Linked DNA regions of Danio rerio. The protein of the gene in region 1 interacts with the protein of each later gene in a pairwise test. Links are inferred from orthologs where the notes say so. Each region holds a gene or a part of one and is shown in the gene's direction. Other genes may lie near its edges.

The links.
Region 2: the proteins of lzts2a (region 1) and ttc23 interact in binary tests that used the Homo sapiens proteins (3 or more experiments, as listed by UniProt). The two-hybrid records come from large-scale screens. The link is inferred for Danio rerio from reciprocal best matches to the Homo sapiens genes LZTS2 and TTC23.

Annotation. Positions count from the first base shown.
Region 1 is NC_133188.1:20,794,000-20,800,103, reverse strand, and holds the start of lzts2a (leucine zipper putative tumor suppressor 2a), read left to right. Parts: upstream 1-2,397; 5' UTR 2,398-2,559; intron 2,560-6,104. UniProt on the Homo sapiens protein: Negative regulator of katanin-mediated microtubule severing and release from the centrosome. Required for central spindle formation and the completion of cytokinesis.
Region 2 is NC_133193.1:22,230,650-22,236,155, forward strand, and holds part of ttc23 (tetratricopeptide repeat protein 23), read left to right. Parts: intron 1-1,910; coding exon 1,911-2,041; intron 2,042-3,462; coding exon 3,463-3,612; intron 3,613-5,506. UniProt on the Homo sapiens protein: Participates positively in the ciliary Hedgehog (Hh) signaling.

The DNA of each region.
Region 1 (6,104 bases):
AATGAAATGATACGTATGTATTTCATATCGCAGCCTCTTGCGATTAGCCAATTGTAACATTTTAAACATTTCAAATAATCGCACAGCACTTGTGTCAAACATTGTAAAAAATTAACTGTTGCATTAATGTTCCTAATTTGACATAATATAAGTATTTCTGGGCTTAAAGTGATAGTTCATCCAAAATTTACTCATCTTTCACTTGTTCAAAATGTATTTGAGTTTCTTTTTTCTTTAAAAAAATAAGATATTTTGAAGAAAGCAGGAAACCTGTAACCATTGATGTCCATAGTTTTTCCTACCATAGAAATCAATTGTTACAGGTTTCCAGCCTTCTTCATAATATGTTATTTTGTGTTTAACTCAAAGGATCTATACCTTAGAGTGTTCATCTCAAACTCTGGCAACAATAATTTTCAAGGTATTTCATTTTGATTTGATTTGAATTGATTTATTCATTTTCGAAAATACATTTCAACATGGTCAAAAATGGAGCAAGATGAAGCACAAGCTTATTATTTTCCCACTCCATTACCACACATGTCATTCATCACTTAAACTTATTTCTTCTTTTACTTATCTCTTATTTTTACATGAGACACATTTAATCCTTTTGGCATCTTTGACATATTGTATGTTTGATTCTATTTGTACATTTACTTTTTATAACATAGACCCCCAAAAAATACATAGTACTGCAAATAGCCATTAATTTAAATTTCATCATACCTTTCTCATTTGATCCTTTTTCAATCACCTTCATCATTATATTCCTTTAATGATGTATAATTATACAAATTTTAAAATTGAGTAATATCCTGACATTGTTTGAAAATCTGTTCCAGAATGTTGCATAATTTCACACCACAAACAGACATACACAAACTTTTTAAAGTTGTCCTTGTTTTCAACCTCCTATTATGTTTTTCTCTCAGATTATATCCCCCTTGTCTTTCTTCAAAAAACTTTTGTATGCATTTAGGAAGTATTTTATTCCCAGCTTTAAACATTAATTGTGCTGTTTTAAATTCAACCAAATCATTGAACTTAAGTATTTTCAATTTAAAAAAATAAAGGATTTGTATGCTCCAAATACCCCACATTTTCTATCAGTCTAATTACTTTTTTCTGCATTGTACATAAGGATTGTAAGTAAATATATATTATATTGGGGAATATATATATATATATATATATATATATATATATATATATATATATATATATATATATATATTGGGGTATATGTATTCCCCCAAATTTCCACACAATAGCTCATATATGGCAACATAAGTGTGTTATATAATATATACATTGATATATTGTCCAGTATAAATCTTGCTTTTTACACTATTGCTACAGTTTTTACTATTTTTGATATTACATTATTTATTTGCGGTTTCCGCAACTAATTTTATGATCCAATATAAAACCAACAAACATAATTGCATAATCTCTATACTTAAATACTTTATTATCAATTTGGAAATCTATATTATGTCTACTTTTTAATTTCCCAGATAACAAAACCTTTTGTTTTACTTATATTTAATGACAATTTGTTTACGTCAAACCACAATTTCAATTTATTAATTTGTTTTAATCAACTCCATAAATTTTGGTAAATTATGCCCAGAACAAAATGATACTTGTATCATCTGCAAATAAAATAAGCTTAAACAACTCTGAAATCTTACACATATTATTAATGTAAATTATAAACAATATTGGACCTAAAACTGATCTTTGTGGTATGCCACACTTTGCATTTAAATATGATGATTTATGGTTGCCAATTTCCACAAACTGTTGCCTATTTTTTAAATAACTAATTATCCAATCCAAGGCTACTCCTCTAATACCATACCATACCATCATTTAAAGATGTGACATAAAGACAAATAAACCACAACCTGTCCTGATAAGGGAAATTTTCAGAAATGACTCTAAAGGACCTTAAACTTATTACACAACTGTCAAGAAGACAACAGAAGGCATATAGTCAATTGTACACTAGAGTTATCCAACAAAGTTTTGATTACACTGACAATTTAGAACCCTTCAAATCTTCTTATCAAATATGATACAGCCTGCCCAGTAAGTTTAAAGTAGCCACTGAATGTCAGACTTAAAAACTGCACAGCAGTCGTCCATTTTCCACAGACACTGTCGTGGTCAGAGATGAAGAACAGCAAAAGGTAGAAGAAAGACAAGGGGAAAAAAGGGAGCAAGTATGAGGAGGGATTAAATGTGTGTGAGGATGGGGGTGGTGGAGGAGGAAGGGGCCACAGACAAAGTGCGAATGGGAGGAGGGTAGCAGGAGAAGGGGGCGGTGCTGGCGGCAAACAGCAGAGGACGGGACACAGAGGAAGGGGGTTTCTGCCAGAGAAAAGAGAGCAAACTTTGGCATGAGGAGGAGGAGCACGGAGAATGAGCATGTAGGAGAGAAGCAAAGTGATACAGAGAGGAGAAGCAGCAGAAGTACAGTGAACTGACTGGGATTGTACCTCCAGGACAGGCTGGGGAGACGCGAGGAGGCAGCCATGCAGAGCACTATGGGTATGTCAGCAACACCACTGGATTTATTGCAGCCTGCGAATGCACGAGAGTTCAGATTACCACTGCAGCTCACGGGAGCTTTGAAGTGATGTGAAATGAATGATTAACTTTCTTAAAGCTGATAGGGTTTGGGGTGAGAAGACGCTCTTTGAAGTTTTAGCAGCACTGTTAGTGCTTTCTGCTGTGCGAGAATGTTAATGATACTGTGTTATTTTGGGGGCTGAGTAAGTTGGGCTTTTGTTTTGATTTATCAGAGATACAAAGATACAATAGTGAACTCTGTTGTGCTTCATTTAAGTTTGTCACCAGATGTCTCCTTTAAAATGTTTGAAGTAATGAAGACAAAATTAAGACAGTAAGACTGTTACAAACGTTGGTATCTTGTCAAATATTGTGCTCTTTTCTGGTTCTCCAGAGAGAGACATGTGAGATTCCCACAGGAAAACCATATAAGCAGCATGAGGCGTAAACAAAAGTCTCAGTTTACTCTCATTTTAACATCACTGTCCTCTAGAAGACATAAATGAGACGTCTTTTGTGTTTTTTGTCACCTATAGGTATTTATATCTGCTGTAAAGAGTGTTTGTTGAGCTTGTTAAGTTTTTGTGGCTGGTTTGTTTGTTTGAAAGCAGGGCCTTGCGAGTGGATTGATTTACAGGAGTCAACTAAGCGGTTTGGTTTTGTTTTGTGGAGACCATTTTGTGGAAATTCAATGTTTTGAAACTACACTTCAGGTTCATATATACTAAAACATTTTTTACAATTCTTTTAGGAGTAAAAAAAATAGAACTTTAAATTCAAAATAGCTTGGCGCTATTTTTCCTCTTTCCTAAAATTTGTTGAAATTATTCAAACAAATGTACAGAAATCATCTGATAATACTGATGTGAAAGTGTCCCCAGTCAATCACAGCAAAGTTTATATAGAGAAAAGGTGTCAGTGTTGCTCATTAATATTTTCAGTATCTACAGTAACTTTCAGAACATCAGTATCTACTAGAGCTGGGTGATATTGCAAAACATATTATCACAATATCATGTTTCATATCATCTGATATTGACAATTATCTTACAAAATACATTTAGGAATATTAGATTTTTTTTTAAACCATTTTATTTTAATTTGCCAACATTACTAAGGCAAATATGTTCAATAGTCAAAAACAAAAATATTTAAACAAAATTTCTGATCTCTTTATAATAAAATAAATAAGTGTTAAAGAGACTCCTAAACTTGATGAATAAAATGCTACAAAGTGTGTGCAATGATAAAGGTAGAACAACATCTGTAAGATGTCAATAATAATGATGCAGTAAAACTCAAATTATTTAAATACATATTATAACAATACAAATTGTTAAATACTTAAATGGCTACATTACCCCTACGCTAAAACATGTCTCAGATGGGGAGCTAGTGGCTAGGATGCACAAGAAAAGAAACCAAAAAGCCACTCTGGCGACATCTTTACATCTTTTATTGTTTATAATCTCCTCAATGCTGCTATATGGCACTCATTTTCGCATGTGTTGTTATTCTAACCTTAAGTAACAAGTGCACGCGCATGGTTTCTGGAATTGGTTCCAATTGGAATCTGGAATGGTTGCAGAAAAACCATTGCTGCAACAAGTTTATGGAGAAAAGTAAAAAGCACTGCAGTGTTTGGCTGCGCTGTGTTTGTCTGAGGTAATTAGTCTGCCGTTATTACTGAAATGTGTATATTCCATACAAAGTGTGAGGCAGATTGGTTAATTCTACTAGCATGAATGGCGGTGTGCTCTCAGCATTCAGAAAAGTTCAAATGTTTTTAACTACTGTAGATGCGGCTCAAAAATGTGCACGGTTCACATGTGTATGTGTGCACCACCTGCACAACATGGGCGCGTCGCTCAAGTCGCGCGACTTCATTGGAAATGACAAACTTTCACCCTAAACTTATTGGCACTGTTTCCAAGGCACACGTTCATCAGCCACTTTTAATAAAACTATAGTGCTTTATACCGGAACTAAATAATTCTAAATCGTTTTTTTATCGATATTGACAATGGTGGTTCCGTCAATAAATATCGATATCAATTTTATCGCCCAGCCCTAGTATCCACTATAAAACTGCTCTTTAGTGCTTGATTTTACTTGTGTTTGTCTGACAATGATGGATTAAACAGAGGAAATTAAATTCAGAGTAGTGTTAAAGCCACACCTACCTAGGTGGGTTGAAGGTCTTTACCAGCTGATGCAAACTTCTGTACATGGGAACGTCTCCCATATACAAAATTACTGAAAACAACTTTTCAGTAAAGAGTTCCAAAAGGAATCATTTATGTGTGTGTGAAATGCCTTTACTGTACTGTTAAAAACCATTTCCGCTAAAAAGAACCTTATGTTGACGATGTAAACAATGTTTAATGGAAGCATCAATGCCAATGAATTGTCTTTTTGATCTACTTTTTAGATCTTTGGACTAAAAATATTTCTTCTATGGGATCACTGTGAAACTCTCTATTAGGCGACTTTATGTTTATTGCAAATATTTAGTATATTTTTGCTTTTTTGTGACCATAAATTAAAAAGTAACATGACTTCTCAAAAACTGGCCCAGATTGGAACGTCCGGTGTCCAGAATACACACATACACACTCCAATCACTCTTCGCTCAGTGCTTACATAAAGCTTCTTCAAACTAGTCAAACACCACTAAGCTTCTTGCACAGCATGATACCTGATCTATTGACATTTTGTTTTCGAATGGGATGAAGTTTTGAATGAACCCCCCCATCCCCCCACCACCCAAGTATATTAAGATTCCCGTTTGTGTTTAAAGTGGATGTGACTCAGCTCATGGCACATTCTTATACAGTAAAAGCCTGAAATAGAGTGGCCTGTTACTGCGTGTCAGCAGCGTCCAGACTCTGCTCCGGATGAGATCACCTAGGGGGGTGGAAAGGTGCTTGCGTCAGTGAGTCGGAAAATAATAGATGAGTTAAATCACTCTCATATGTTAGAGGGCTCTGAAATACAGCGTTAGTAAATGTGGTCAGCGCACTGTCTTCGTAAGGACACTACGTGCCCCGCCGGCTAGCCTTGTCTCACAGGTTTAAGGTCTCTAAAACACCTCGTTCTATCATTTTTACTGTTTCCATTTATGAGAAGCCTTTATACGCCAAGTGTTTATGTAAGACTGTAGCTTCCTGCAGACGTATATACAGAGGGAGAGCTCATTAACGTCGAGTCAGTCTCTGCTAACTGCACTGAATCACAGCTTTCCATGCCACTCTTTTTGCTCCCTGTCTGAGCTCGGCTGGAATCTGTCGGGATGGTGTCTCTATATGTCCACATCCTCTTGTGGCTGGTCCCCCTGTGGCATGTTTGCAAGTTTTCACGAGCAGCTTCAAGGTTGTCTTTTTTCTGTTTGTGGCTCCTGCGTGGTTCACCATCTCTGCAATTTTGTGATGAATTACATATTCATGCTGGCATAGTTTGTCTGAGGCCGCTGGTTATGTAAGCGCTGGTGTGGAATTAATTTAGCAGTATGTGCGTTGTGCCAC
Region 2 (5,506 bases), on another chromosome or scaffold:
ACTTGAAATTTTCCCCTGGTGTTTGTAACAATCAAAGATATCCATGTATGCAAAGAAGACAAATTTAATTAGTTACTAATTGAGTTATGCATAATAAAACGAAATGATGCAGGGAAAAAGTATTGAACACATAAAGAAAGGGAGGAGTAGAACAGCAGTGAAAACCCAGACAGCAGCTGATATCTCCTGGTAGTAATGTAGCAATTCTTTGCCCTTTGTGATTGTAAATTAATATTAGCTGATTCAGTCCAACATCTTCATTAGGATGATGGATATGCAATTAGGGTGGACATTTCAGCAAGACAACGATGTGAAACTCAGCCAAGGAAACTCTCAAATGCTTTCAGAGAAAGAAAATCAAGCTGTAGAATGGCCCAGCCAATCACCTGACTTCAATCCAATAGAAAATATAAATTAAAATCAGACTTGATATAAGAGACTTATAGAACCATCAAGATTTTTACACTTTGTTAAATCTGTGACTGACACCTGAGCAATTAACGTGATTTCATTTTCCATATGAAAGTTGTCTTTAAGCTGCCATCAACAAATGAGCCTTTTATATAAAGTATTCAATTCCTTTCAGTACTTGTTTTACTTGTGTCATTTCATTCTTATTACACAGAACTAATTTTTCAGATTTTATTTTGTTTTTAATTATTTTTATTTTTGTATTGTTTGGATTTGTACCAAAATCTTGTTCAAGTCCATGTCAACAGCTCCTTTAGAAATATTATTCCCAGAAAAAAACATGACGTCTTCAATACTTATTTCCCCACTGTATATGAATATTAATAATAAATGATTAAATAAAAAAATGAATTAAAAAAAAGTTGTATATAAGATTGCACCAGACAACATTGAGGCTGGTTCTTTGAGGTGTAGGCTATTGGCCTTATTCTGCAGTGTGGAAGTTTGCTCATGTTTGTGATCGTTTCAGAATTTCCGATTCAGTCGCCTATGGGAGAAATGGCTAGGAATAATAAACGGAAATGGTTTGACTACTTGCTCTACAAACAAGCGTGTTCATGCATGTAAGCATAAAAAGATGAATAATATAATAAGAAAACATCAGTTTGCAGCATAATGAGCTGTTTTAAACATCTAAAAATTAATTGAAGTGAATGAGACCGGAAATCTTAAGCCAAAAACATTCCAATGACTATGCCCACTCGTACATGCAGAATAAGGTCATTATACTGCAGAAAATCATTTGATGATAGAATTTCACTCATGTTTTGCAGAATTATTAAAACAATGTTTGAGATAGTGTGAAATGAGATGGTTTCCTGTTAATTCTAGTTATCCAATCACTGTTGATTGCTGTTGAGGCAGAATCTAACTTTACTTTCTTGATCCTCATCAAAATATTTATTCTGTAAACATGTTTATCCATTCACCTATTTATCAGATTAAAATGTATCCAACTCAATTTCAGTGTTGGGTAAAAAAAAAGTAATAATTTGCTATTTGAAGCCTTACTCAACACTAAAAAAACAAAACAAAAATAGCATAAAATAACATACTTTTACATTTACTTGAAAAATAAAGTAAGAATTTTAGTTTTATTTACAGTCACTTAAGTTACTTTTTTCCCCAATACTGCTCAGTTGTCTGCAGATGTTTATTATGCACATTTTTACAATTTATGTGAATCTCTGTGTTTTTTTTATGCAATGTCCTTAGCTAATGGCGGGGTTGTACAGTATACAAGTGTTTAGCAGGCAATACACAAGCACACCCTTTGTGTTACCTGTCCTGCATAACAAGTACACCAGTAGAGCTAAAGGTGACCTTCGGCTAATCAAATAGAAAACTTGACAGTATTGGAGTGGCTCTTCGATGGAAAGTGGACGCCTTGTATGAATACTACATTACTGTCATTATGTGCATCTCCTTTTCTCTTTCAGTAGATTTAGCAGCACGGTATTTTGAAGAGAGTATAAGTGCATATAGAAGTGCACTCGGCCCACAGGACAAACTCACACTGTCTGCTCAAGACGACTTCAGTCATTTTCTCCTACTCACAGGACAACACGAGGTCAGCTTCAACTCATCTTTGTAATCTGTGTAATATGGAACAGATGTGTTTTGTATTTGAAATATATAAAGTATGTACTACTTTAAGTTTTTTTTACATTATAAAGCACATTTCTACACTGTAAAAAACAAAAAAAACAAAACAAAACATTGATTCTAATTAAAGTATTAAGGCAGCCAGCTTTAGGACATTTTTGAGTTTACTCAATTAAAATCGAATCAAGTGCAATGCTTGAGTTGAAAGTTGAGTCAACTCAAAAACGCTCTGCAGCTACAGTAGTTGCTTTACAATTTTGAGTTGAGTCAACTTTTTTTACTGTGTATATGCAGCCGAATCTATAGACAGACTGTTTTGACGCTGTTATGGATGCAATTAATTTCACAATCATATGCAAGGTGACTGAAATTGAAATGAAAAATTCTAAAGATACTGAGCCATTACTAGTTTAAAAAGTAAAAACAAAACAATTATAATTTAAGGGAGAACATTAATATTTAAAAAAAAAAACTAAACTGAACTGAAACTCATTTTACGTTAATTTTATTATACTTTTTTTTGAAGTAATGTGTTACTTACTCATTAATTTAAAAAGTAATACTATTGTTGTAATATTTCTTGCTTTAATTGTAATGCGTTACCCAACATTGTAAGTATACTAAATGTTTGCAGATTAAATTGGACATACAAAAAATATATCAGTATAAAGATTTAAGTGACAATATTGTTACATGTTGTGATGATGCTACACAGTTGAGATTTGCAAGTATAAATGACAGTGGACTAGCAATCAGTATAATATATAAAAACCTAAAAAAACAAACAAAAGGTAAACAATAGTTTTAATTTTTTATTTATCATTTTTTATATTTTTAATTCAGTTAATCAAATGTAACAGTAAATATGAAAATAATAATAATGAGGGCAATTGTGGCGTAATGACTAGGAGTCAGGCTTGTAATCCAAAGATTGAAGGTTCGATTCCCAATAACATCAGGAATCAATGAGGGAAGTAAATGAATGGCGTGTGTACTCTCACTCATAATGTGTGTGTGTGCACATGGATGGGTCAAATACAGCAGACCAGTTTTCAAATATGGGTAAAAGCATACTTGACTATTCCTAATATATTTTCTTTTCATCAAATGCTGAAACTGAAACAAAACTGTTCTGTACATTGATAATAGTAAAAACAATATTGACTACTATTTAGAATCTTGTAGGATGTATCATTTGTACACATTTTGGTATGTGTTTGCAGTTCTAATTGAATCCAAATGGGATTGGGAGTGGGTAAAATTAACTGGATCTGCACTTCAGATTTCTAAACATCCTATAATATGGACATGCTATTTTTTAATATAATTTAGGATGGATAAATGTAGTCTATAAGCACTGTTGGTGTATTTACTGTGTGTTTTCAGAGATGTGCTGAGATCCAGAGAGAGTCTCTGTCCCTGAAGAAGAGCACGTTTGGTGAGCTCAGCACTGAGGTAGCAGAAACGCTGCAGCTGATTGGTGGAGTGGAGATGACACAGGGTCACATGAGACACGCCCACCGGACACTCAAGAAGGTGACTCAAATCATCATTCTGTTGCATTCATAGTAAAACATTTCTTTTTGCAGTCTAATAAATTTGGGATGAAATATAAATTGCTCTATTGATACTGTTGTGAATGAATCTCAATGAATCATTCATGCATTTACGTTTAAATTATTTTTCTTAGTTTGAAAAGTCGTAACTTGATCTTTCGTTAAAGCAGACCTCTCACTGGTGACGTATTTCAAACTTCCTTCTTACACTGTCCCAAGCAGATGCAGAAAATGGCCATTTTTGTCCTTACAAGTTTTTTTAACGATACTTTTTTTTTGAGAGTGAGTAATTACTTAATGTTAGTGAGACATGTAATGTATTTATATAACGCATTTATTGTGTATGGCCATACACCCAATGTGCTTCACAATCATGAGGGGGTTTCTCAACACCATCAGCCAGTGCGCAGCATCCACTTGGATAATGCTATGGCAGCCACAGGACAACAGCGCCAGTGCGCTCACTACACACCAGCTATTGGTGGAATGAAGAGATAGTGATAGAGCCAATTCGGTGGATGGGGATGATTGGGAGGCCATAATGGGTAAGGGCCAATGGAGGGAATTTAGCCAGGACACCGGGGTTACACCCCTACTCTTTACAAGTGCTATGGGATTTTTAATGACCACAGAGAGTCAGGACCTCGGTTAAATATCTCATCCAAAATATGGTGTTCACTGACGGTATAGTGCCCCCTTCACTATACTGGGGCATTAGGACTCACACAGACACCCCCTGCTGGCCTCACTAACACCACTTCTAACAGCAACCTAGTTTTCCCATGTGTTCTCCCATACAGGTACTGACCAGGCTCAGCCCTCCTTGGCTTTAGTGAGTAACCGGTCTTGGTCTTATGGCATAAGTTTGAATATACTTTTTGTGAACTTTATTGTCGTAGTGATACCAATAATGCATGATACAAACAACAGATGCTATAAATATATAAGGGAAAGAAAACATGAATGTAAATACTGTCAATCTAATATGAACAAACAATTATATGTTGAATTTTGGTATCAGTCACTCAGTATTTACTTTTAATCATGTTAAAATGGTTTAATACACTTTAATGAGATAATTTGCAATGTTTACAGTCCCCCAAATATGATCATCTTTGTGCAAAAGGGTTCTGTATGGTTTAATGCACATTGTGGTTTATACTTATTATTGCTATGAAAGTGTTATTTAATGAATTGGTCTGAAAATTATTTGCAGAATATTTAGTTTAATTATTTTAGTCAAATTGAATTAGTATGAATGTTTATTTTAGTCAGATTATTCATTTATTTTAATCAAATATTGGATTTTTTATTTAATTCTTATTTATTGTTATATTTTTGTATTGTTTGATTATTTTAATCCAGTTTTTATATATTTGTTTATCTATTTTGTTTAATTTATTCATTCATTTTCTTTTCGGCTTAGTCACTTTATTAATCTGGGAATTAACCGCCAACTTATCCAGCATATGTTTTACGCAGCAGATGCCCTTCCAGCTGCAAACCATCTCTGGGAAACATCCATAAACACTCATTTACACACATACACTACGAACAATTTAGCCTACCCAATTCACCTGTACCGCATGTCTTTGGACTTGTGGGGGAAACTGGAGCACCTGGAAGAAACCCACGTGAACACGGGAGGAACATGCAAACTCCACACAGAAATGCCAACTGACCCAGCCGAGGCTTGAACCAGCGACCTTCTTGCTGTGAGGCGACAGCACTACCTACTGCGCCATCGCATTGCCTGTTCGTTTAATTATATACCTTATGTCTTCTTACAGGACATTTATTTATGTTTTTTCTCCAAGAGCCCAGCTTGAAAGACCCTGAATTAAAAAAGAAACTAAATATTATATTGCCATTGC